Drosophila melanogaster: one gene and its partners. Changing the gene in region 1 together with any one later gene gives a genetic interaction. Each region holds a gene or a part of one and is shown in the gene's direction. Other genes may lie near its edges. The genes, in order: asf1, mor, Sin3A and Caf1-180.

Evidence for each region.
Region 2: of asf1 (region 1) and mor, changing one suppresses a phenotype caused by changing the other (phenotypic suppression), as found in Drosophila melanogaster (one study listed by BioGRID).
Region 3: of asf1 (region 1) and Sin3A, changing one suppresses a phenotype caused by changing the other (phenotypic suppression), as found in Drosophila melanogaster (one study listed by BioGRID).
Region 4: of asf1 (region 1) and Caf1-180, changing one suppresses a phenotype caused by changing the other (phenotypic suppression), as found in Drosophila melanogaster (one study listed by BioGRID).

What each region holds. Positions count from the first base shown.
Region 1 is NT_037436.4:19,617,034-19,620,923, forward strand, and holds asf1 (anti-silencing factor 1), read left to right. Parts: upstream 1-1,860; 5' UTR 1,861-2,145; coding exon 2,146-2,802; 3' UTR 2,803-3,365; downstream 3,366-3,890. Other genes in the region: l(3)76BDm (lethal (3) 76BDm), read right to left, coding at 1-731, 791-952, 1,247-1,412; ms(3)76Cc (male sterile (3) 76Cc), read left to right, coding at 3,574-3,659, 3,722-3,890. UniProt on the Drosophila melanogaster protein: Histone chaperone that facilitates histone deposition and histone exchange and removal during nucleosome assembly and disassembly. Cooperates with chromatin assembly factor 1 (CAF-1) to promote replication-dependent chromatin assembly.
Region 2 is NT_033777.3:15,967,596-15,974,823, reverse strand, and holds mor (moira), read left to right. Parts: upstream 1-1,910; 5' UTR 1,911-2,011; coding exon 2,012-2,128; intron 2,129-2,219; coding exon 2,220-2,345; intron 2,346-2,525; coding exon 2,526-3,450; intron 3,451-3,500; coding exon 3,501-3,831; intron 3,832-3,894; coding exon 3,895-4,669; intron 4,670-4,731; coding exon 4,732-4,942; intron 4,943-5,229; coding exon 5,230-6,249; intron 6,250-6,313; coding exon 6,314-6,438; 3' UTR 6,439-6,690; downstream 6,691-7,228. Other genes in the region: Rbf2 (Retinoblastoma-family protein 2), read right to left, coding at 6,867-7,228.
Region 3 is NT_033778.4:12,586,148-12,591,044, reverse strand, and holds the start of Sin3A (Sin3A), read left to right. Parts: upstream 1-1,892; 5' UTR 1,893-2,329; intron 2,330-4,897.
Region 4 is NC_004354.4:8,601,626-8,608,203, reverse strand, and holds Caf1-180 (chromatin assembly factor 1, p180 subunit), read left to right. Parts: upstream 1-1,899; 5' UTR 1,900-2,015; coding exon 2,016-4,254; intron 4,255-4,317; coding exon 4,318-4,487; intron 4,488-4,549; coding exon 4,550-5,692; 3' UTR 5,693-6,067; downstream 6,068-6,578.

The sequences.
Region 1 (3,890 bases):
GTCTCGACTGGTAAGACATCCGCCGTGAGGTGCATCCGCCTCTAATTCATTTCCCCAAACATTGGGATTGATTGTTTGAGAGGCAATACTCTCGCTGCTGATGCTAAATTTCGAATTAATCGCCTCTGTGGCGCTTTCCTGCATGGGACTCAGCGGATGAAGCATGGCCAGATCGCTATCTTGAGCACTGACTCCTTCCAGGAGCTGTGACATTTGCATAGCAGGCATACTTATTACAGAAACCGCTTCCTGTGGCGATTTCGGTGCACTAAGATCAGTGGAGGGTAGATTTGGATCACTTTTAGGCTGTCTTTTAATAAACGTTGCCCAGTGATCTGGAACCTCAGCTGCACCCTGAGAATCCATCGAGTTGATCGACACCAAAAAACACTTGCTGTCTCCGAACGTGGATTTGAGCAGCTCGAATCCCTGCTGTGCTTTGGACAAGTCTCCCTGGCTAGCCTCGTGCAGCACTACGTAACTATTGAGGACCTCGGTGGGATGGAACCACTTGGGCAGTTTTTGGGGCGTGATGCTCTGCATCTGCTGCACACGTTGTCCCAGTTTGTGGGCGGTCTCCACGATCTGGGGATCTGCGCTGGATAGCACTAGCAAACAACTTAATAGATGGCGGGTGAACTCATGATCCGCCGGAAATTGCACAGTTAAAAAGGTCTCACGCCACTGCTCGAACCATGGTTCCGATGTGGGTAACTCAAGGTCTATGCCAGCTATGGGAGAATGGTAAATGAGTTACCAAAAGACATTTTTGCATCGCTTAAACCCTTACCTATGGTGGCCAGTCTGGTTTTGTCATTATGGGCGTTGGTCACAGACTCGTTGAGCATCTTCCTGGCCAAAATTGTTTGCGGCGGCCGCCAGTCCACATCACAGAAATTGAGACGGAGTCCACGCACCGATACACTCGTTCCGGACACGTCGCGAAAGTGTGCTAAAGAAAGGAGTACAAATGCATTTAATTTTTGGCCATTTAGAATTTGTTGGCAATTTAAGTTTATTATCAACAATGTTAGAATCAACGTTTACCAACTTCTGAGCTTTAAACATGTCATCCACACCATAACAACCCTTAAACAACTACTTTGTATGCAAAATGTTAAATAACCATGTCGAATCGGTTGAAAGTTCCATAGAAAAGACCTATTTTCTTAGCCGCGTCTATGCCTTGTTTACCTCACCCGCACGCCCCCTTACACACAAACCATTCACTATCCCATTCACTCACCATCATTTGGCAACTTTGCGAACGGCTGCAGGAGTTCCACGAAGGAGAGGTTGTTCCGGTGGCAAATCTCGTCCGCCTGTGGACTGGACAGCACGCCGATCAGCGGCGAGAAGATGTTCCGGATGATGTCGCGAGCATTGTAACTCTGGCCCGTCAGGTGCAGCATTACTCCAACTATTTACAAAGAAAATACAGAACACCACACAACAATTGCAGGGAGCAGCTGGAGATGGCACTTGATGCAAGTTTGTATCGAAACTATCGTTACTGGCAGAAAGTCGACAGCTGTTTTTTGCGCAGATATCGATCGCTCTTCCAATCAGAAAATATATGTTCCAATTTTTATTTGACTTGGTTTTTCTGAAGATCATTATTTTGTCATATGTGTATTTTTTGTAAACCATTCCGTAATGCCGCTGAAACTACAGCATCTAGGTTTTTTTTTATCGTTAATTCGTGTAAAGGCCAGTTGTAACGAAACGAAATTATTATTAGTATTTTTTAGATCTTGTAAACTCGTTCACCAATCGAACTATTGTCGCGTTTTGACATTCCGCCACTTGTCGTGGTGAGTTTTTCGCCACCACTTGCGACACCGAACGGTCCCTCTGAAGCGCGGGAAAGAAGTCAGCTGTCACCATTTGTGCGAAGACAAGCGGAATAATTGCGATAAATAAAAGCAGAATAGCGACAGACAATTGCACAAACCTGATTCATGTTGTAACCAAAACAAACTACTAGCATTACAGTACATATATCAAGTATTTGCTGAGCGTTTTGCAGGTGAATTTCGCAAAGCAATTCCCTAGTCGGACAAAAGCAGAACCTCTAAAAAAAGCGCGCAGTCGAAGGAGTCTTTAAAATATCGGTCTACGCTCTGCAATCTCCGAGGTACAGTCATGGCCAAGGTGCACATCACCAACGTGGTGGTGCTGGACAACCCGAGCAGCTTCTTCAACCCCTTTCAGTTCGAACTCACGTTCGAGTGCATTGAGGAGCTAAAAGAGGATCTAGAGTGGAAGATGATCTATGTAGGCTCGGCGGAGTCCGAGGAGCACGACCAGGTGCTGGACACCATATACGTGGGACCTGTGCCTGAGGGGCGACACATCTTTGTCTTCCAGGCGGATCCGCCAGACGTCAGCAAGATCCCGGAACCGGATGCGGTGGGCGTTACCATTGTTCTGCTTACCTGCTCCTACCGCGGCCAGGAGTTCGTCCGCGTGGGCTACTATGTGAATAACGACTACGCTGACCCGGAGATGCGCGAGAACCCGCCAACAAAGCCTCTTTTCGAGAAGCTGACGCGAAACATCCTGGCCAGCAAGCCGCGCGTCACCCGATTCAAAATCAATTGGGACTACGGGCACATCAACGGGAATGGAAATGGCGTGGAGAACGGCCATCAAGATGAGATGGCCACCGATGGACCGTCCACATCGGAGGCGGCTTCAGCAGTTATCCATCCCGAAGATGATAATAGTTTGGCCATGCCAATGGAGAACGGAATCAAGGCCTTGAACGAGAACTCCAACTCACTGGCCATGGAATGTTGAGAGCTGCCGGCAGTCCGAACAATGACCACACTAACACACTGTCTCTCACTTAAACCAACATGGGCAACAATGGATAACTTAGCACTCCTGGTCCTCGTCCCTCTTTTTACTTCTAAGTAACTAAGATTAAAGCAAAAATATATGTATACATTAAATTATTTCACAAAACATGCATTTTCTTAGCTATATTTGACTTTTCTGTGCGCACTTATTTGTGTTTGAAGAATGACTAATACGTTCATGGCAAAGTTCAGTTGGCCGTGTTCAATAGAAATGATACCCTTTTTTTTATTAAGAAACTCTATTATCAATTATTGCACTTGTACAGCATTAATGCCTAAATAGAAATAATAAGCATATTCTTGAAAGAAACTCCGTTTTCAATAATTGAATTTTGTACAGAACTGATTTTTTGTCTAAATGATTTATATGATTTTTTTGTTGTTTAAAAACAAGTTAAGTAAAAAATGGGAAAAATTCACATCAGATTGGAAGAGAAATTTAATATTATCAGGACGGCATTTTATTATATTTAATTATATCTAAAAATATTCATAAACCTGAAACTTTGTTTTATTATAATTTTTTATATTATTTTTTTTTAATATAATCTTTGACTACACATTTTCTTGAAATTCCGTTAAATCAAATAATACTGGATCAATTCTTCCTTTGTGCAATATTCAGCAACAATTACATTAGAACAAAAACAGAAAAAAACTCAAATCTCAAATCTTTGCTGTACAAAATTTAAGTAACAGACATCTTAGGATGCCTATCAGCCAACACGATCTTGCCCGTTTTGCCAGCGCCCCGGGCAGTTGCCCTCGGATCAGCATGAGCAACTCGAGCAATACGTGGAGAGTACTCCAGAATTTGTGAAATGCTTAAACTGATCCATCCTCCTGATCGTCCTTAGGTATCTCAGCTATTCGGATCTAGATCTGGGCAGCAAGTTTTGCGGCGGAGGATCCCTGAGGACGGAACCTAGCTGCGATCACTGGAAGTTCTGCGAAAAGGTGCCCAATCGCTCAGACGTGGAGGCCGACTCATTGGGCTGTCCTGTGGGCCTCGTCTGCTCAAATGCC
Region 2 (7,228 bases), on another chromosome or scaffold:
ACAAACAACGGGCAGCATCATCATCGCAATGCCGCAGTCAAGTTCGGCAAGTAAACTTTGGATATTCAAATGTTCTTTAAGAAACTGTGACAAATGTCGCTGATGTTGCGAACCGCGGGAAAATGGCAAATGCGAAAAAGCTGAAAAGGCCGACCGCCGCCGTTTGAAACTAGTTCAGGTGCCCTACCCCAAGTTGTTGGTAGCAAAAGAGAGAGGGAAGCGGCGACTGCAGTCGATTACGGCAGCGGACCATAAATAAATACAGGTGCTTGTACCGCCTGGCATTGTAGTGCACAGTGAGAAATTCGCTGAAATGCTGTACTGAGATGATTGGTAGTGGTTCAAGGTACGGTAAGATGAGAATTTTTAAATTACTTTGAGATTTGTATACCAAAACATGACGCTCATTTACAATCCAATAATATTTCATGCATCAGAATCGAGTGAGGCTTAAATTTAAGAACTTTTTTCAATAGCTAATATTATGAAACCACATGCTTATTTCTTTCCGTGCACTAAACGTATCGTAATGTGGACGTGGACAGCGAACGCAGGGATTATTGTTAAATGCCACCCACTGAAATCGGAAAAAGAGCCCGATGAATGAACAAATGGACGACACAAATAGCGGCTGGCGAATTGGGCAATGTGTTGCGACTAAAAATACGCGCACTAGAACGGGCTGCCAAGATGAGAGAGACTAGAAGGCGAAGACAAAGAGCTAGTGGTAGACCAAGTTTTTGTAAAGGATTTCCGCTGTTTTGCTGCGTTGGCGCCCACCTCCTCTCTCTCTCCCTCTCTCTCGCTCGCTCTCCTCTCTTATCAATAAACAGAGCCCCTTGGCCCCACTCTATCTATCTCTATCGCACGCACACAAGCAAGCGGAAGCGATAAGTTGCTGCCATATAAATAATGTTGCAATCTAGGATAAGAATTTAGGGGTTCCTTATGTTCCTATTCGCATTCCCACTCCCGATCTCCGAGTGTTATATCACTTACCTTTGGCAATGGTTGCTCTCTCTCGCTCTCTTCCTCTTCGCTTCGCATTTGCTCTTCTCTCCGCACTACGCACTCCTCTTTCTAGTTCCCTTCGTTGTGCGGTAGCAGTCAGCTTATGTGGGGCGCCCACTCACAATTCAACTCATGCGCTCTGCATTTTCTAATTGAATTGTTTGCTCTCAAACTGTACAATCGATGCTGAGTTACTATAGCCGTACGTATGTGTGTGTTTTGGCCCAAGGAAAGGGGTACTGGGTACTGCTTTTCGCCAGCAGCGTCACAAATCAATCCAATCGCTTTTGCTTTCTTCCTACTCACTCGCACTCACGCACCATTGACTTTTTATTTTCACGCACACTGGCACACTCGCGACGGACACACGGATGGGAATCCGGCGTTGCGAATAACGGCAGAATTCGATTTACGGCAATTGTCGTTGGTGGGCGTAGGCAGTCAATGTTTTAACTTAACACTGGGCTTCACGCTGATGCAAACACACTCTGACAGCACAATATTTTTAAGTTTTCGGTTCCCAGCAGCCATGTTAGCGCGATGGAGTCGCATTTATATGTGCGGCCTGACTATCGTGGTGCATCGGTTTTTAGGCGGCGCGAGCGGGACGCCAATACAGCACCACCGCCACTGTGACCAGATGGCATTATTGAATTTAACAGCAATTTTCACATAATAGCTTGTTCCCACTGAGATGTAAAGCTAACTGACACGTTAGCTAGCTATAACTTTTTCGAAGTCTATATAATTCTCTTAACAGCCAATATGTTTTCTTGTTATTTAATATATGGCTTCCACCAACCAATAGGTTTATATATTAACCTAACCTAAGATTAAAATAATGATAACTTTCAGTGGAGATAGCTGAAATATCGATAACGACTGTCACAACAACATCGATTTAAATACCATCTCTATTTTATCAACGCAGCGTTTATTGGCTTTTTGGCGTGGAAAAGTGAAAAGATAATTGACAAAAAGTCCACAAAAGTGCCGCAACATGAACACACTGGGTCCTAAGAAGGACGGAAGTCCGAATATAGACTTTTTCCAGTCGCCGGAGACGCTGCAGGGCTTTGAATCGATTCGCCAGTGGCTGCAGAAGAACTGCAAGAAGGTGCGTGCCAACAACAACGCCGCCGCAAACAAAAATGGCGCTGTCAGGCGGCGAAAAAAAAACGATTTACTCACAACCGTATTTATTGCAGTATTTGGCCCACAGTTCGGAGCCCATCACGAAGGAGTCCTTGGCCCAATTGCTCATTCACTTCCTGCAGTATGTGGAAGCCAAGCTGGGCAAGAACTCAGCGGATCCGCCGGCAACCAGAATTCCGGTTAGTATTGATAGTGCCTGTGGTTGGTGAGGGGGACAGGGTGCCCCGTGTTGCGTGTGTACACGTAAATATTAATCCTCCAATGGCCAAATGTTTGGACCACTAGCTTATATTTTGTATTTAGCTACATGATTTACGTACATTAAAACATATCTCTAATAATCGTACCACCCACACCAGATGCGTTGCTTTCTGGACTTCAAGAGCGGCGGTGGTCTGTGCATCATTTTCTCGACCATGTTCCGTTTCCGGGCCGAGCAACGCGGCAAGAAGTTCGACTTCTCCATTGGCAAGAATCCCACGCGCAAGGATCCCAACATCCAGCTGCTGATCGAGATTGAGCAGGCGTTGGTCGAGGCGGACTTGTATCGCATACCGTACATCTATATTCGGCCGGAGATTGAAAAGGGCTTCGAGGGAAAACTGCGCGAGATCCTGGACAATCGACGGGTAGAGATTGTGTCGGACGAGGAGGACGCCACCCATATCGTCTATCCTGTGGTGGACCCACATCCCGACGAGTATGCGCGGCCCATTTTCAAGCGCGGCGGACATGTGATGCTGCATTGGTACTACTTCCCCGAGTCCTACGATTCTTGGGCTGTGAATAACTTTGACCTGCCCGATCACATTCCGGAGAATCCCGAGTCACCGGCGGAACGTTGGCGTGTGTCTGCATCCTGGATCGTGGACCTGGAGCAGTACAATGAGTGGATGGCCGAGGAGGACTACGAGGTTGACGAACAGGGCAAGAAGAAGACGCACAAACAGCGTATGTCCATAGACGACATCATGTCATTCGGCGACGAGAAGAAGAAGCCTGCTGCCAGCTCGGGCGGAGGCAAGCAGAAGAGACGCCGTTCACCATCTCCCGCCAGTTCGGCATCCACCTCAAAGCCGGGCAAGCGTAAGCGTTCTCCCGCCGTGGTGCACAAAAAGTCGCGCAACGACGATGATGACGAGGACTTAACTCGCGATCTGGATGATCCGCCGGCCGAGCCCAATGTTCAGGAGGTTCATAAGGCAAATGCCGCCTTGCAGTCCACCGCCAGTCCAGCTCCGGGCGGTAAATCTCGTGGCGACAACGACATGATGCCCATTAAAGGTAAGTTTTGTTATCTTATATCTGCATTGACTAAACAAACTGATATCTAGGTGGCACTATGACCGATCTGGATGACGAAATGACTGGAGGAAGCGCCGCTCAAGCCATGTCTACCGGAGATGGGGAAAACTCGCAGACAGGCAAGACAAGTGATAACAGCAACACGCAGGAATTCTCTTCATCGGCCAAAGAGGATATGGAGGACAATGTGACCGAGCAGACGCACCACATTATCGTGCCTTCGTACTCGGCTTGGTTTGATTACAACTCCATTCATGTGATCGAGAAACGGGCCATGCCGGAATTCTTTAACAGCAAGAATAAGTCAAAGACACCAGAAATCTATATGGCCTACAGGAATTTTATGATTGATACGTACAGGTAAGTTGAAGCTCCATTTTTTTTGCAGCAAATAGTTTTGAATATGTTACTCATCTATTTCAGGCTCAATCCGACGGAGTATTTGACCAGCACAGCTTGTAGGCGTAATCTTGCCGGAGATGTGTGCGCCATAATGCGAGTACACGCCTTCTTGGAGCAATGGGGCCTGATTAACTACCAGATCGATGCGGATGTCCGCCCCACCCCTATGGGTCCACCACCAACCTCACACTTTCACATTCTTTCGGATACGCCATCAGGTCTACAGTCCATAAATCCGCAAAAGACGCAACAGCCGTCGGCGGCAAAGACGCTGTTGGATCTGGACAAAAAGCCATTGGGTAAAGATGGCGGCCTGGAGTTGGGCGATAAAAGTGGTCTGACTGGCATCAAGACAGAGGCTCTAGAGAATGGCGCTGCCGGAGGATTAAGTTCCGGAGTGAGCCAGTTTGGACTCAAGCTGGATCAGTACGCAAAGAAGCCGGCGGCCATGAGGAATCGAACGGCGGCAAGCATGGCTCGTGAATGGACCGATCAGGAGACTCTGCTGTTGCTTGAGGGCTTGGAAATGCACAAGGACGACTGGAACAAGGTCTGCGAGCACGTTGGATCTCGCACTCAAGACGAGTGCATTCTGCATTTCCTTCGACTTCCCATCGAGGACCCGTATCTAGAGGATGATGGTGGCTTCCTGGGCCCCTTGGCCTGCCAACCCATTCCGTTCAGCAAGAGTGGCAATCCCATTATGTCCACCGTCGCATTCCTGGCATCTGTGGTCGATCCTCGCGTTGCCGCTGCAGCAGCAAAGGCTGCCATGGAGGAATTTGCAGCCATTAAGGTAGTTACATTTTAGTCACGTTTAAACCATGATTTTAACATCCAATGTAAAACTTATGCTAGGATGAGGTGCCCGCTACAATAATGGACAACCACCTGAAAAACGTGGAGAAGGCTTCGGCAGGTGGTAAATTTAATCCGAACTTTGGGCTGGCCAATAGTGGAATCGCAGGAACCGGAAACGACAAGGACGATGAAGAGGGCAAGGAGGGTGGCGCATCTGCATCCGCTGGCGGCTCTGATGAGGAAATGAAGGACCTAAGCAAAAAAGACGGTAAGCCAAAGCCATTAGAGATCGGTAAAGGGGGTTTATGGATGTTGGTTAAGGGAAAAGTCGCTAAGTCGAGCGAGTTTTCTTTTAATCGATTTTAAAGGGAATTTACTCAATTGTTGGTTCTGCATTTGTTTGTCTTGTTGAACTCTTGTGTTGCTTTCATTCAAAATTCGCAATTTGTTCACCATTTGGCACTGTATTCGTATATTGTTTCGTTTTTGTGTTGCGCCCAATCTACCAAACTTACATCAACACCACAACCATCAAATAACAAACAACAACCACAGACGATGCCAAGTCCAAAGACAATACAAAATCGGATAAGACCAACACAAACACAGACTCGAGTTCCACATCATCATCAGCGACAGGCAACACCAACAACACTGACAAGAAACCAAAGGAGTCGTCCGGCTCCTCGCCTTCGGGCGATAAGTCAGCCATCAAGTCAGACAAATCAAACAAATCCTCACCCACAGAAACCGCAGCAGCCGCAAGTGGTGGCGAAGTGGACATCAAGACGGAGGACAGCAGTGGCGATGGCGAAACTAAGGACGGCACTGAGGCCAAAGAGGGAACGGGAACCGGAACAGGGCCATTGGCGGTGCCAAAGGAAGGAACATTTAGCGAAAATAACATGCAGACTGCGGCGGCGGCAGCTTTGGCATCGGCAGCAGTTAAAGCCAAACACCTGGCTGCCCTGGAGGAGCGTAAGATCAAATCCCTGGTGGCTCTCCTTGTTGAGACTCAGATGAAGAAGCTGGAGATCAAATTGCGCCACTTTGAGGAACTGGAGGCCACCATGGAGCGAGAGCGCGAGGGATTGGAGTACCAGCGTCAGCAGCTGATCACAGAGCGTCAGCAATTCCACCTGGAGCAGCTAAAGGCAGCCGAGTTCCGAGCGCGCCAACAAGCACATCATCGTCTTCAGCAAGAGCTCCAAGGCCAGGCGGCCGCGGGATCAATGATCTTGCCGCAGCAACAGCAGCTACCACAGGCCCAGCAGCCGCAGCAGCAACAGCAAACGCTGCCACCTCATCCGCACCTGGCGCAGCAGCAACAGCTGCCTCCGCATCCGCACCAGTTGCCGCCGCAGTCCCAACCGCTAGCGGGTCCCACCGCCCAGCACCAGCCGTTGCCCCCGCACGTAGTGTCGTCGCCCAACGGTGCTCCCTTTGCAGCGCCACCGATTTCGCTCACGGGAGGACTCCCGCCGGGCGCACCCACGGCCATTGTCACGAATCCGAGCGACCAAACCGGACCAGTCGCAGCGGGAGCAGCGCAATCTCAAGCACCTACACCCATGGGTAAGAACTTTAACGGATAACAATTCATAAACTATAATACTTAGACATCCAACTCCCGCCATAGATACTACACCACCAAGCAGCGGTCCAGTGTCAGATGCCAACGCACCGCCGGGATCGGCAATGCCACCAGGGGGAATTCCTCCGGCGAACACTGCTCCCATCGCCGGCGTAGCTCCCTCTTCTTAACTCTTACTCATAAGCCAGGAAACGTTAAAGTAAATAGCTCTAAGTCGTACGCTCTCAGTATGTATTATGTATACTCCACTTTAAGCCCAACTCTTGTGTGTAATCTGAAGGAGATGCACTACACATTGACGCGTCTCCAGTTTTGTGTAAGTTTCATTTCGTGTCCGGTCGCGTTTACAAGCAATTGCACAAATATTTTGAACCAAGTTTCAAAGCCGAAAAATAGGCATTCAATAAAAATTTATTTAAACTACGAGTGGCAGTTATTCCTTTATTTTTACAAAAGCAAAAGCTTTTAACTTACTTGAACAAGTTAATAAAATATCTATAATTTAAACATTATTTAATTACCATTTTTGAGTTTAAGAAATATACTAAGCTAGCTGCGTAAAATGCAGCCAAGTATTTAAGCCTTTTTTGATTGGTTATTAGATCACTGAAAGCTGGCGACGCCGCAGGATGTTTGGTCGCTTGATCTCTCTCATCAAGTCGTTACTCGAAGCAGCACGCTTTACGTTGGGCGAGCTTTGCAAGGAAAGTGGTGATGCGGCGGGAGATGAAGGTGGATGACTGGAGCAGGAGCCACTTTGGCATACCCTGGGAGGGGGCGGTGAAGATATGCTGATGTTGGCTCTCATGCTCAATTCGTTGGAAGTTGTTTCCGTCAGAATACCAACGTTACTCTGTGATTCTTCCAGTGACTTGCGTGTTTGCGCACACTCCAGGTGGCGGCCATAGTTGCCCATACTTTGGACATACACACTGTTGTAGAAAGTGATAATATCAGCGG
Region 3 (4,897 bases), on another chromosome or scaffold:
ACACTTTTACACATATTTAGTTGTAACTTTTTCAAGCCTTCATCATTATATTATTAAAACTTGAGTGTTAAACTGTATGTTTAAATATACTATGTTATCATTTCAATAAGTATTGAATTAGTAAACAACACTGAAGCCGTTGTGTTCAATCGTGTAAGCCTATTCCCAAATTTATAATCGTTATTTTAATTTAAAAACCTTTTAATTGCTCTTAATTTTGATCCAACACGCATTTTGGCTCACCGGTAAATTTGTGTATAATCTTTTACATAAAGAAGAGGGTTCTCTAATCCTTAAATGGATTTATAGTTTTGATGAGAATTAATACTAAAGTTAAATATTTTATAGTAAAGTTTTCCATTTACTGTGTTGTCAATTTTTTAGGACAAACAAACAATAAATAACAAAAAGTTTTTATCACATTAAATATCATGTGACTCAAGAGAGTTAAAAACATCTGATAATTTGCAGAACACGTACGAATATCAAACTAATTAGTTTTTTTTATAGAAATGGGTCCGTGTGACAGGAACCTCTTTACCACATTTCAGATATCACTTGATCAGCGTCAGTTAATATTTCCTAGTGCCGCATTCCATGACAGATCTGAAATTAGCACAGGAATAATTAGAACATGCTAGACCACCTGGCTTTATTATCAATAGAAAAAAGCATCAATAATACCCAATGGGAGGGCAAACAAACCTTCCTGCGGCGCCTGGAAGTCGGAGAGTTTGGTTTGTGCCATTTTTTTGTTTGGTCCAGGGACTTTGGTGCACCTCGGACATGCGCTGCACCCAGTAGCTAGTTAGTTGCATGTGAACTTTGAACTTTCGAGCTGGAAAGTGGAAGGCGGATTTGCATTTCCTATCGCTGCAGGTGTCTCACAAAGAGAGAGGCTCTCTCGTATCCTCCGCCCCCGCTGCATTTTTTTCATTGCGCAATGAGCGAGACGAATCGATAACTGCAAGGTTTCCATGTTTTAGCAGCTCAACTTTTGCGCGTATACAGATTTTTTGTCTGTATTATTTTATTTTGTGAAGGAGCTGGCCGCCGAATTCAGTTCGATTCGAGATGGGAACATGTGTTTTTATGGTTCCGCCATTGTCATGGTGAGATGCACTTGCTTTTTTTTGTCTTCATATTTTTACTTCCTCTCTCCGCACGCACGCGTCTGTGTGTGAGTGCGCTGGCGAGTGAGGTGGTGGAGGAGTACATGAGTGTGTAAAGTGTAGCCGTGGCAGAGTTGTAGCTCGCTAGTGGTCCGTTTGGTTTCTGATTTTCGGTTTCGTCGATTTCACATATGTACTGCAATGGTCGGCTAAAACGCTCTGCCGACGTCGCTATCTGCTGTATACTCGTTGCGCTTGTGTGGGTGCGCTGCTCTCACACCCGCTCTCTCTCTTTGGCTCAAACAGGGTGTCTTACCCAGATGTTCTGATCATCGTTTCCACCACATGGCTGGGTGACAATGGTACACCCTGTTTTCTAAACAACTTGTTTTCTCTCTTCCCAGCGTTGTTGTTGGTCCTCGCACTTACGTAAGCCTCACGTATTTCGTTTCTTATCCAAATTCTAAGCGCCATTTTGCGACTATTTGCATGCGGTACCGCTCACCGCTAATAAAAATAACCACTGATTGTGATTATTTGCTAATAGGTAATGAATGGTATATAAACTATTTTTGCCGTCAGCTACTGATGTGTTTTCAACGCGCTCGACGGAGGATTTTAGTTGTTGCGCCGTTGAGTTGCCACCCTGTTTTAGCTGCGGCAGCAGAATAAAATGAATTCCAAAGCAACACTGCGCGCGCGCTCTCACGCTCTCCGTTTTACACTCATTTCGCTCTCTCTGCTGACTCCAAATGACTGGCCGTCGCGTTTCGCTGTTTTAATCGAAAATGTTTGCGGCGGCGTTGAGATGTACGAAAACGTTCTCTCGCCAAAAATTTGTGAATAGAATAGCAGTAGCAATCTATCGAGAAGAAAATGTCTTAAATTCGAGCCGTGTGATCTAGTTAAGGTCTTAGAGCCAAGTGCAAATTGATTGAAATAAGCGTTAAACTTAAACTGAACTGGAGAACGAAGCCCCAGCTACTGAAAGAAAAGAAAACGGTGAAAATAAAGATTTCGGTGTGCCAGTGAGTGCGAATATAGTAGTTGCATGTGCAAAATACTGCGTAAAACGTGAAAGTTTCCAATAACACCACAAAACCAACGGCAGTTTTGTAGTAAATATACATACGCGCCCCGTACATATATACATACATTTCGAATATACATACACACAGCCGAATATCAACCGACGAAGCTAACTGCTTATTGCTGATGTAAGTGTAATATGGGCGGTGGGCGGTTGTGGGGGGCGTGAAAATTGCAGAGTAGCATTATCCTTCAAGTGCACTTGGAGTGCGGATTCGAGTTCAAACAATATTTTCGTTCGTGCCACTGAAAACTTGTGAAAATACAACATTTTTAGGTTAGGTCAATTTCAATTGGTTTATATACACACGCACGCACAAACTCACACACACACAAACAACAATGGCATAGCGAATACATATAGAAGGCGCACAGACAAAAAGTCGTCGACGGGGACGTGGTTGTTGTTTGTGTTGCTGCTGCTGCTGCCTCTACAGTTTCTGCTCTCCTCACACACAGTTGAACACAGTTGTGGAGAGGAGAGCCACACTCATACATACGCTTTGAACCATTGCTTTTGGTTCGCTTATGAACTGACTGTATTTTTTCAACGTAGTGTCGTTTTATTTTCGTTGTTGATTCGTTCTTTGCTCAGTTCGTGCGCTTATCTTGACTTTTGCTTTGATGCGCCATTCGCATGTACTGGCGAGAGCAGCCTAGTGTGAGTGTGCATTTAAATGGCTCCCCAATGAGAGCATCATTTTGTGGCCCTCTTTTTGTTCAGATCTTCCTTTTGCTCCTCTTCTTCATGCTCCCCAGCCCATCCGTCGTTTGTTGTTCTTGCTCCGCCTGTTTTTTTTCATTCGGTTTTGAATTTACACAAAACGTTTGCCGTTGCTTCTTCATGCTGAAATAGTATATATGTATGTGAATATATTGTACATATTTCTCTACACATCCATATGTTTTATTTGCAAAATTTATTAATAGCGCAGCGCCACTCCGCGGCTGTGTTAGTGCGCCAGAGTGAGAAAGTAACAGTAAAAAACTAAATATTAATTCGCGTTGATTCCGATTCGTATTGCAGTTGTTCAAAACCGAGTGCTAGTGATATTTGCAAAAAATTTAACATATTTTCCGCTGGCTGCCTTTTGTGTTGCGTATTCTGCTGTGCTGTGTATACACATAACAAAACAGATAAGATAACATTATACGTGTGCACGTAATAGAGCGGGCTGAATCAAAAAAAAAAAAAAAGAAAAAATGGAGGGAAAATTTGCCCACATGTCTCCCCAAAGCACACACACGCACACAACGCCCCAATTTGGAGCCTCTCTCGTCAAACACTCACACACACCAGCAAGCGAGTAAATGTGTTTGGTATGCACTAATGGCGGATCCAAAAATACAATAACAACAAAGACAGTTGGGAGAGCTCAAAAGAGCGAACTTGTTTTACCTTCATTTATTAAAGGATAGTTGGTGGTGGCAGAGACAGGAGAGAGAACGAGGGCTAAAGCTTTTGTGCGGCTGTACTGTGCTCCAATATTTGTTTACAAATGCTAAAAGGGGGCAGCTGTTGGTTCGATGGGGTGTTTCAATTAGTTGGAGCAGGATGATCCTCTAGGCGGTTTCCATTCACCTAATATTTGCTCGCGGTCTTTGGTTTGCGCAGCGTTGCGCTCTCTTCATTTTTGCCGCTCTCTCTCTCGAATGCCCGCCAAATGCTTGCTGTGTCCGTGTGTGAGTTTGGCCCCAAACGGGTGAAATACCTTTTTGAAAAAAAAAAAATCATCCATATACTGCGCCTCAACAACAAATGCGGCTCTCTCTGGTTCTCTCTGTGGCTGCACCACCACCACCGTATCGCCACCACCACCTTTGCATTGTTGCGTTTGCTGCTGCTGTTACCTCTGACTCTTCTTCTTCTTATTCTTGTAAGTTGTAGATACAGAACATGTACCAGCAGCTCTCACACACCACCCGCCCGCCCCCTTGGCGGTATCGATATATAAATATTTTCTATGTGTGCGTCTGAATTCTATGCAAGCCGATGTCGTGCATGGGGCATTTGGCACCTTCCACATTCACAAATACTGATATGTACACACATACACACACACTCGGAGGTGTACACAGAAAGCTCGCTTAGGAAGTTTTTACTGTACCGCTGAAAGCAATAACAAAGCGCGCGCCCAATTCCGGTTGAACGTACACACACTAAAGTGAATTACGCGCTCCTCCTTATGCCTTGCACTCACTCTCCTCCAAGACTCAACTTCCACTCCACGATCTCCTTCCCGTCTATATGTATCAATCTCTGGTTGCTGTTGTTGTTATTGGTCACAGCTCCACTGCTTCATTCCATTCCTATTGTCCCTCATCTCACTCTTCTCCCCCGAATCCAGAACACCCAATACAGAGACACCGTTCTCCACTCTGTAGTTTTTGTGATACGGCTAAAAGAAGAATTCCCCCGTGGCTTTTTAGTTCACCTTTTTTCTTGTTGAAATATGCAATCGTTCCGATATCTGTGAAGATATAGACCGAATTGATCAATCAGCTGTGCTATACTAGCTAACATGTTTTGGGAAAATTAGCAAGACTCGTGGTCTTTAATATATGGAAAAGTATATTTGGCATATTTGTCCTTTCATTTCAGTGTCAGTGAATAAATTCTAGTATTAATGTGTAAGATTGTTCCAGTAATGCAGAATTTAATGATGACTAACTTCATTAAAAATAGACCCAAACCT
Region 4 (6,578 bases), on another chromosome or scaffold:
TGTTCAAAGTGTTTGGCCTCTTTTCGCGTCATCAAAAGGGAAAATGGGACGACTGATGCCTGATGGCCACGCCCCGCGACATCCCCTGCCATTTCACCACGCCATTCACCACCACCACCACCCGCCCGAATGGTGGGTGAGGCGGCGGAGGGGGCCGCTAATAGATTTTCTATTACCAGGGGAAGGCAAGGACGCTACAGGATACTGGTTACCGGGTACCGGGTACTGGGTACTCGGTATACCGCACCCGTTCACACGCATGACCGAATTCCCATTTTACGCCCCGTCTCTTCCGGGGCCATCGGTCGTGGGCCAAAAGTCCCAGCGGAATCGATGCGGCATTATTATTATTATCATTATTAAAGGAGTCGATATGTGGCGATGGCAAATCCCGGCCAATGCGTATAATATGCCACATGTCCAACCCACTACATCTGAACCCTCCCCCACCCCTCTGATTTTGTTGTATATATGTACATACATATATATTTAATTTTTCCAAAGAAGCCACAAGCGGCGACCGCAATTTGTATCTCATGTGAATTGGATTGCACATGTCAGTATTAGTCATCAAGATTTGCACTTTAGGGCCGTTGCAAGTGTTTTGTTTAAAAAAAAAATAATACTAATAGTTAGTACCCACAAATCACTTAAATATGTATCAATTCTATCTGATTATTATCTCACACCAGATTAATCAAATCATTACTTTTCTTTTGAGTTTACAAGCTAGGAGTACTTCATGGGATAATAAATCCAATGCATCGAAGTGCAATTGCAATCAGAATTATGCGCATGCACACAGTATATATGTATGTATAATCACAGAGTAGTTGGCGCCCCCAAATCCATCACCTCCTCCTCCTCTCTCCCCCCCCCCCCCCCCTTTGAGCTGTGTGTACGTGTTGGCCTATTGAAACAAATTGTAATTAAATGAAATGTATTCCAGGCCGCTGCGACGCAGGCTGCAGCCGGAGGCAGGATCTCTCATTCTCCCTCGGTTTGGGTCACCATGTCAACCAGGTCGCCAGGTGGAAAGGGGTCAACAGTGGCTATGACTGTGGCCGCAAGCATTTTTCCACTTATCCGGGATTAGCAAAAATGCCACATTAAACTAAGTAAACAATTATCGACAGTGGGGCGATATTTGTTAGCTGCATCAAAAGGTAACAATAACTACGTACCCAATCAACCTGATAGCTTGCAGAAATGGAATAAACTTGGGAAGACGACAGTATTTAATTGTATTTAATTATTCACAAAAAGCTCGCCCAGGGTGCACAACAATTAGCATTGTGTACTTTCGCTTGCATGAGTAGTTTTCAATGTCTATTTCAATTTTATTGCTCACTGTTCTGGAAAAGAAATTAATAACAAAACATTAAGAAAACGGCATTGACTCTAATTTGATATTCTTGTAAACAATATAAACTATTAAAAGAAATAAATCTTACAAATCTTACAAAGACATTTTTAAGTTTCTCCACTTCGCTATTTATGTTTTAAAGTCTCCACAATTAAGCTAAGCCAATAAAAAGGACACAAGGATATTCCTCTTTCTTATCTAAGTTCCCCACCTCCTCCGATCACAGTTTAATTCTCCAATTTGCCATAGTTTAATTCTCCAATTTGCCATAGTTTGACTCTTCACTTTGCCATATTAAAGACTTCTACCAAGACTAAAGTCTCCACTGAAACAATCAAAGGATTAGTGGGTAAAATTATCCACGGGAATAATCTACTACCACTAATCCTTTGATTATGGAGACTTTAGCCGTATGCAGGATCACTCTTATCATAGTTTTCCACCACTCGATCGCTTGCCAACACTGATGCACATTATATCGATCTATCGAGCGCGCGATCGGATCTATTGGCGGCAAAGCGCAACCGCAACTGCCATCGCTAGTGTGTTTTCACCGCCTTTTTTATTAAGCGAATAACAAGTGAAGATTTGCTGGGGGAAAACAGGAGCCGCAGGAAACAGGAAACAGGCAGACAGAGAGTACAGCAGAATGCACGCTGGCGTTGTTAAGACGCCGCTCAGCGGCAGGAAAAAAGATGCGGCTGTGCCGGCCAAATCAGCGGAAAAGACGGCCAGCGGTGGCAAGAAGTTCGTGCAGACGCGTTTGCCCTTTAAGTTATTAACGCCAGGCGGTGGGGCGGTGCCCACATCCTCCTCCTCCTCATCGTCCCCCGCCACTATCGGCTCTGGCCCCGTCACTGTAATCCTGGATGAGGACGATCCCGCTCCGCGCAAGCGAAAACTTTCGTACGACGATGAGTCGCCATCGGAGGGCACTGGCTGCTCTACGGGGCAACTGCGACGTTCGACCAGCAAGGAGAATCTGGATCTGGCCAGTTCCATAGCCACTAAAAAGGTCAAGACCACGGATTCGGTAGTGGAAGATGTCATAGAACTGGATGAGGACGAGGCCGACAAGGAGATAGAGGACCAGGATCAGTTGGTAGAGGCCAAGTCCTCCAAGGAGGTCAAGTTGAAGCCCAAGAAGTCGGAGGGCAAGAAAGGCTCGCCGGCACCCATACAAATCAAGCTGCCATTGGTCAACAAACGATCAAAGCGCAGAAAATCCCTGAAGAAATCTGAGGAACCGCTGGAGACTTCGACCGCGGATGTTGCCAAGGGGGACAGCGAGTCCAGCGATGACATAGAGATTATCGCCGAAGAACTGAACCCCCAGAAGAGGCAAAAAGTACAAACGCCGCGTGAGAAATCCCCAGAAAACAGCTCTACAAGCGGCAAGCACACGGAGGAGGTCATGCAGAAGAATGGAAAGGACTCAAAGAAGCAGGAGGAGTCCATGAAGGCGGTCAAGGAGTCGAAGAAGGAAGAGCCAAAGACCGCAGAACAAAATAAAAAGAACGATCAGGCCACAATAGATCTCTTTATGGGAAAGAAAATGGAAACTAATAAGAAGGATAAACCGGAGGTCAAGACCACAGCTAAAGACAACAAGAAAGATCCACTGATTGCAGAGGATTCCAAACCAAAAGAAGTCCCTAAGAAGGAAACAAGCAAAACCGGAGGAAAAGGCAAGAAGGAGGGAGCAAAACCAGCTGAAAAGAGTAAGAAAGAAGAGAAGGAAGACAGCACAACAAAGTCAAAGAAAGAGAAAGCAGACTCACCTGCAAATAATCAAAAAGAACAACAAATTGGAGTCAAGAAAAAGACTTCTGAACCAGAAGATGCATCGAACTCACACAAATCGGTGACGGCCAAAAAGGATTCCAAGAAAGACGAGGCATCTACTCAAGTTAAGTCGGACAACGAATCTCCGGAAGCAGCAGAAATCTCGATGATCCTCTCGACCAGCGAGGCCAACAGTTCCAGCAGCGAGCACGAGATGGATGCGGATACGGACACCGCGGCCACCGACAGACCCTCCGCCCAAAAGGAGACTCGCCTGAACAGGAAGAGTCTGCCGGAAGTAACCGGCGCCCCGAAGGGTCTTACGCCCAAACAGCAACGACTCATGGAGCAAAGGAAAAAGGCTCGCGAGGAGAAGGAACAAAAGCTGGCGGAGGAGCGTCGCCTCAAGCAACAGGATAAGGAGCACCGCGAGCAGCAAAAGAAACAGGAGCGCGACGAAAAGGAACAGCAGCGGAAGCTGGAGAGGGATCAGAAGGAGCAGCAGAGGAAGATGGAAAAGGAGGAGAAGGAGCGCAAGCGACAGGCGGAGGTGGACTCCAAGAACGAGGAGAAGCGCAAGCGCAACGAGGCCAAGGAGGAGGTGCAACGCAAAAAGGACGAGGAGCGTCGCAAGAAGGAGCAGGAGCGTGAGGAGGCCGAGCAAAAGAAGAAGCGCGCCGCCGAGTCCTTCTCCAAGTTCTTCGTGCCCAAGCAGCCCAAGTGCGGCAGCGGATCCAACAACACATCCTACCTGGAGCACGAGCAAAGCAGCTGCGACAGCTCCAAGGCCAGCAGCCAAACGCTGGCCTTTCGACCATTTCAGATCAAGGACGACATGCTGCTAGCACCGATCGTGCGCAACTCGCTCGGCCAGGAGCAGCGCTCCCAGCTAGATGGACTTTTTCGACACCGGGACGAGGAAGCTGACGACGAGGAGGAAGAGGAGGAGCAGGACATCGTCAGACGAAAGCCGCCGAATCGGGCTAATCTCTATCTTAGTGAGTTGAGCAGCGGACGGCGCAAGCCGCTCAAGATGCAGCGCGATGTGAAGCTCCAAAGACGCACCAAGGACGAGGAGGATGATGACGATGTTCAAGTGATAGGTAGGATATGGCTGCAAGATATTAAAGAAGCATTTGTTCTTCACCAATCATCTGCATCTACAGATTACCTTTCACCGGCGGGTCTGCCCATCGAGGTGGAGCAGCCCAAGCAGCTGACCCGAATGAAGGCCAAGTATCTGCATTTCGCCGACAACCGGAGGCCACCGTACTACGGCACCTGGCGTAAAAAGAGCAGCAGCATCTCCGCCCGACGCCCGCTGGCACAGGATAAGGTATGGATCACTTCTTCTGGCTTAAATATCATAACACAAATATCAATAATCATATAACGCAGGTGCTCTTCGACTACGAAGTGGACTCCGATTGCGAGTGGGAGGAGGAGGAGCCGGGGGAATCGTTGAGCGCTAGCGAGGACGAGAAAGAGAAGGAGTCCGAGGAGGAATCGGAAGAGGAGTACAACGAGTGGTACGTGCCGCACGGACATCTCAGCGACGAGGAACTGCAAAACGACGGCGACGGAATGGAAGACGGCCACACGCGGGAGGCGCAGAAGGCCAAACTCCAGGTGCTGCAGCAGGAGTTCGCTCAGGAAATGAAGAAGCAGACGAAAAAGATCAAGGCGCGCCTGTTGGGTCCCGTTTGGCTGGACGAGAACGGCAACAAGTCCGAGCTATTCCCAGCTATCTTTGCCCACACCATCGACATGTACGCCTGTTGGCAGGTGGAGCCACTCAGCCTAGAGCCTCCGCCAGAACCGGAGCGTCAGGATCAGACGCCAGAGCAGCCGGTGCCGCTGCAGCTGGACGATCGTCTCATGCAGCAGCTGGTGCGCCTTACCCACGGCAATCGGAACTCGAAGACGTTCCTGATCAACGAATATTTAGAGTACCTGAAAACCCAAGCGACCGCCGAGGCCAATCAAACAACGCTGCCCTCAAAGGCTGTGCTGCGCGAGAAATTCGACGAGCTTGCCAGCTGGAAGACCGTGGAGCTGAGCACACCCGAAGCCGCTGCCGCCAGTGCCAACAGCGCCAAAAAGGGCAGGAAACCGAAGAAGCGCCTCTGCTGGGTGGTCGCCAGCGATATGCTGGAAAAGTTCCAGCTGCCGGATCTCCAGTTGCAGAATCAATGGAACTACACGTTGACGCCCAAGGTTAGCGACGGACCAGATGCAGCGCAGCAAGAGCAAAGTCCACCAGCGGATGCGGTACCAGCCGCCTCGCCCGCTTCCAACCAGACCACAAACTCGGCACCCACAACGCCCATCAGTGGACAGACGCAGGCGGGTCAGGGCGTCAAGAAGCGGGCCACCCTGATCATGTCCGTGCCCAGGGATCAGCCGATTCCCTCGGCCACCAAGAACAAGCTGATTAGCCAGTTTCTGCAACGCCAGAGCGATGCCAGCAAACCCAAGGAGAAGATGCAGGAGAAGCCACCGCCCATTGTCTTCGATGATGTGGTGATGCTCTCGGATTAAGACTAGGATTAAGCTAGATCCCCTAAGGATCTTCCGCTTCCTGCTAAGCGAGTATTTTAAGAATACACATTTTTTTTGTCGCTAGTTTCACTCGTAAGTTGATTTAATTTTAAATGTTCCGATGTACGTTCGACTTGTATGTCCTTCTCAGCCAACCCATCCCCACCAGGGTCACCCCTGCCCCAACCAGCATCCCACCCACTCGATCGCAAAGTTTTTAAGAAGTTGAGCAACAGAAGCTCGCAGGATTGCAATTTTCATTGAGCCAACTAAACATATATAGTATATATGCAATAATACACTACCTACCTGATGATGATCTTTCATTTGATGGCGATTTTGGGTTCGCATTGGAAATATATAGACACAATACATAAATCTATAGCTACATTTTTCATTTCAGTCCCAAATTATTGGGGGTTTCTTGGTGGAAATCAGTGGAAACAGCGCTTGAAGTTATTTTTAAAACTTGTTTGTTTATTCTTTTTGCCATTTTTGTTACGATTTACGTTTCAATTAAATGAATTATTTAATATACATTTAGTTAAGATTCCCGACAAAAAAAATTAGAAGTGTGTGTTTGGGGATGTGTTGTCTTTAAAAACGTGGACGTGAACGTGTGTCGTACCATTAGATCTGCAAGAGTTAGAGTCCCATCTACATTTAAATACGATTATCCGATTATCCATTAATTATTGCTATTGTAATCGTTGTTTAATTGTTATCTGCCGTCGATATTAGTTAACCGCCGCCCCCCGTTTATCCTCCTTCCCACGTTCCCAAAAGTTTGCTATGCTAACTAAAAGAGCCGAGCATTGTGAGGAAATCTCAAGTTAAAAAAAAAGTGCGTTTACACAGGCGATTATTTTTGAAATAACCGGATGGT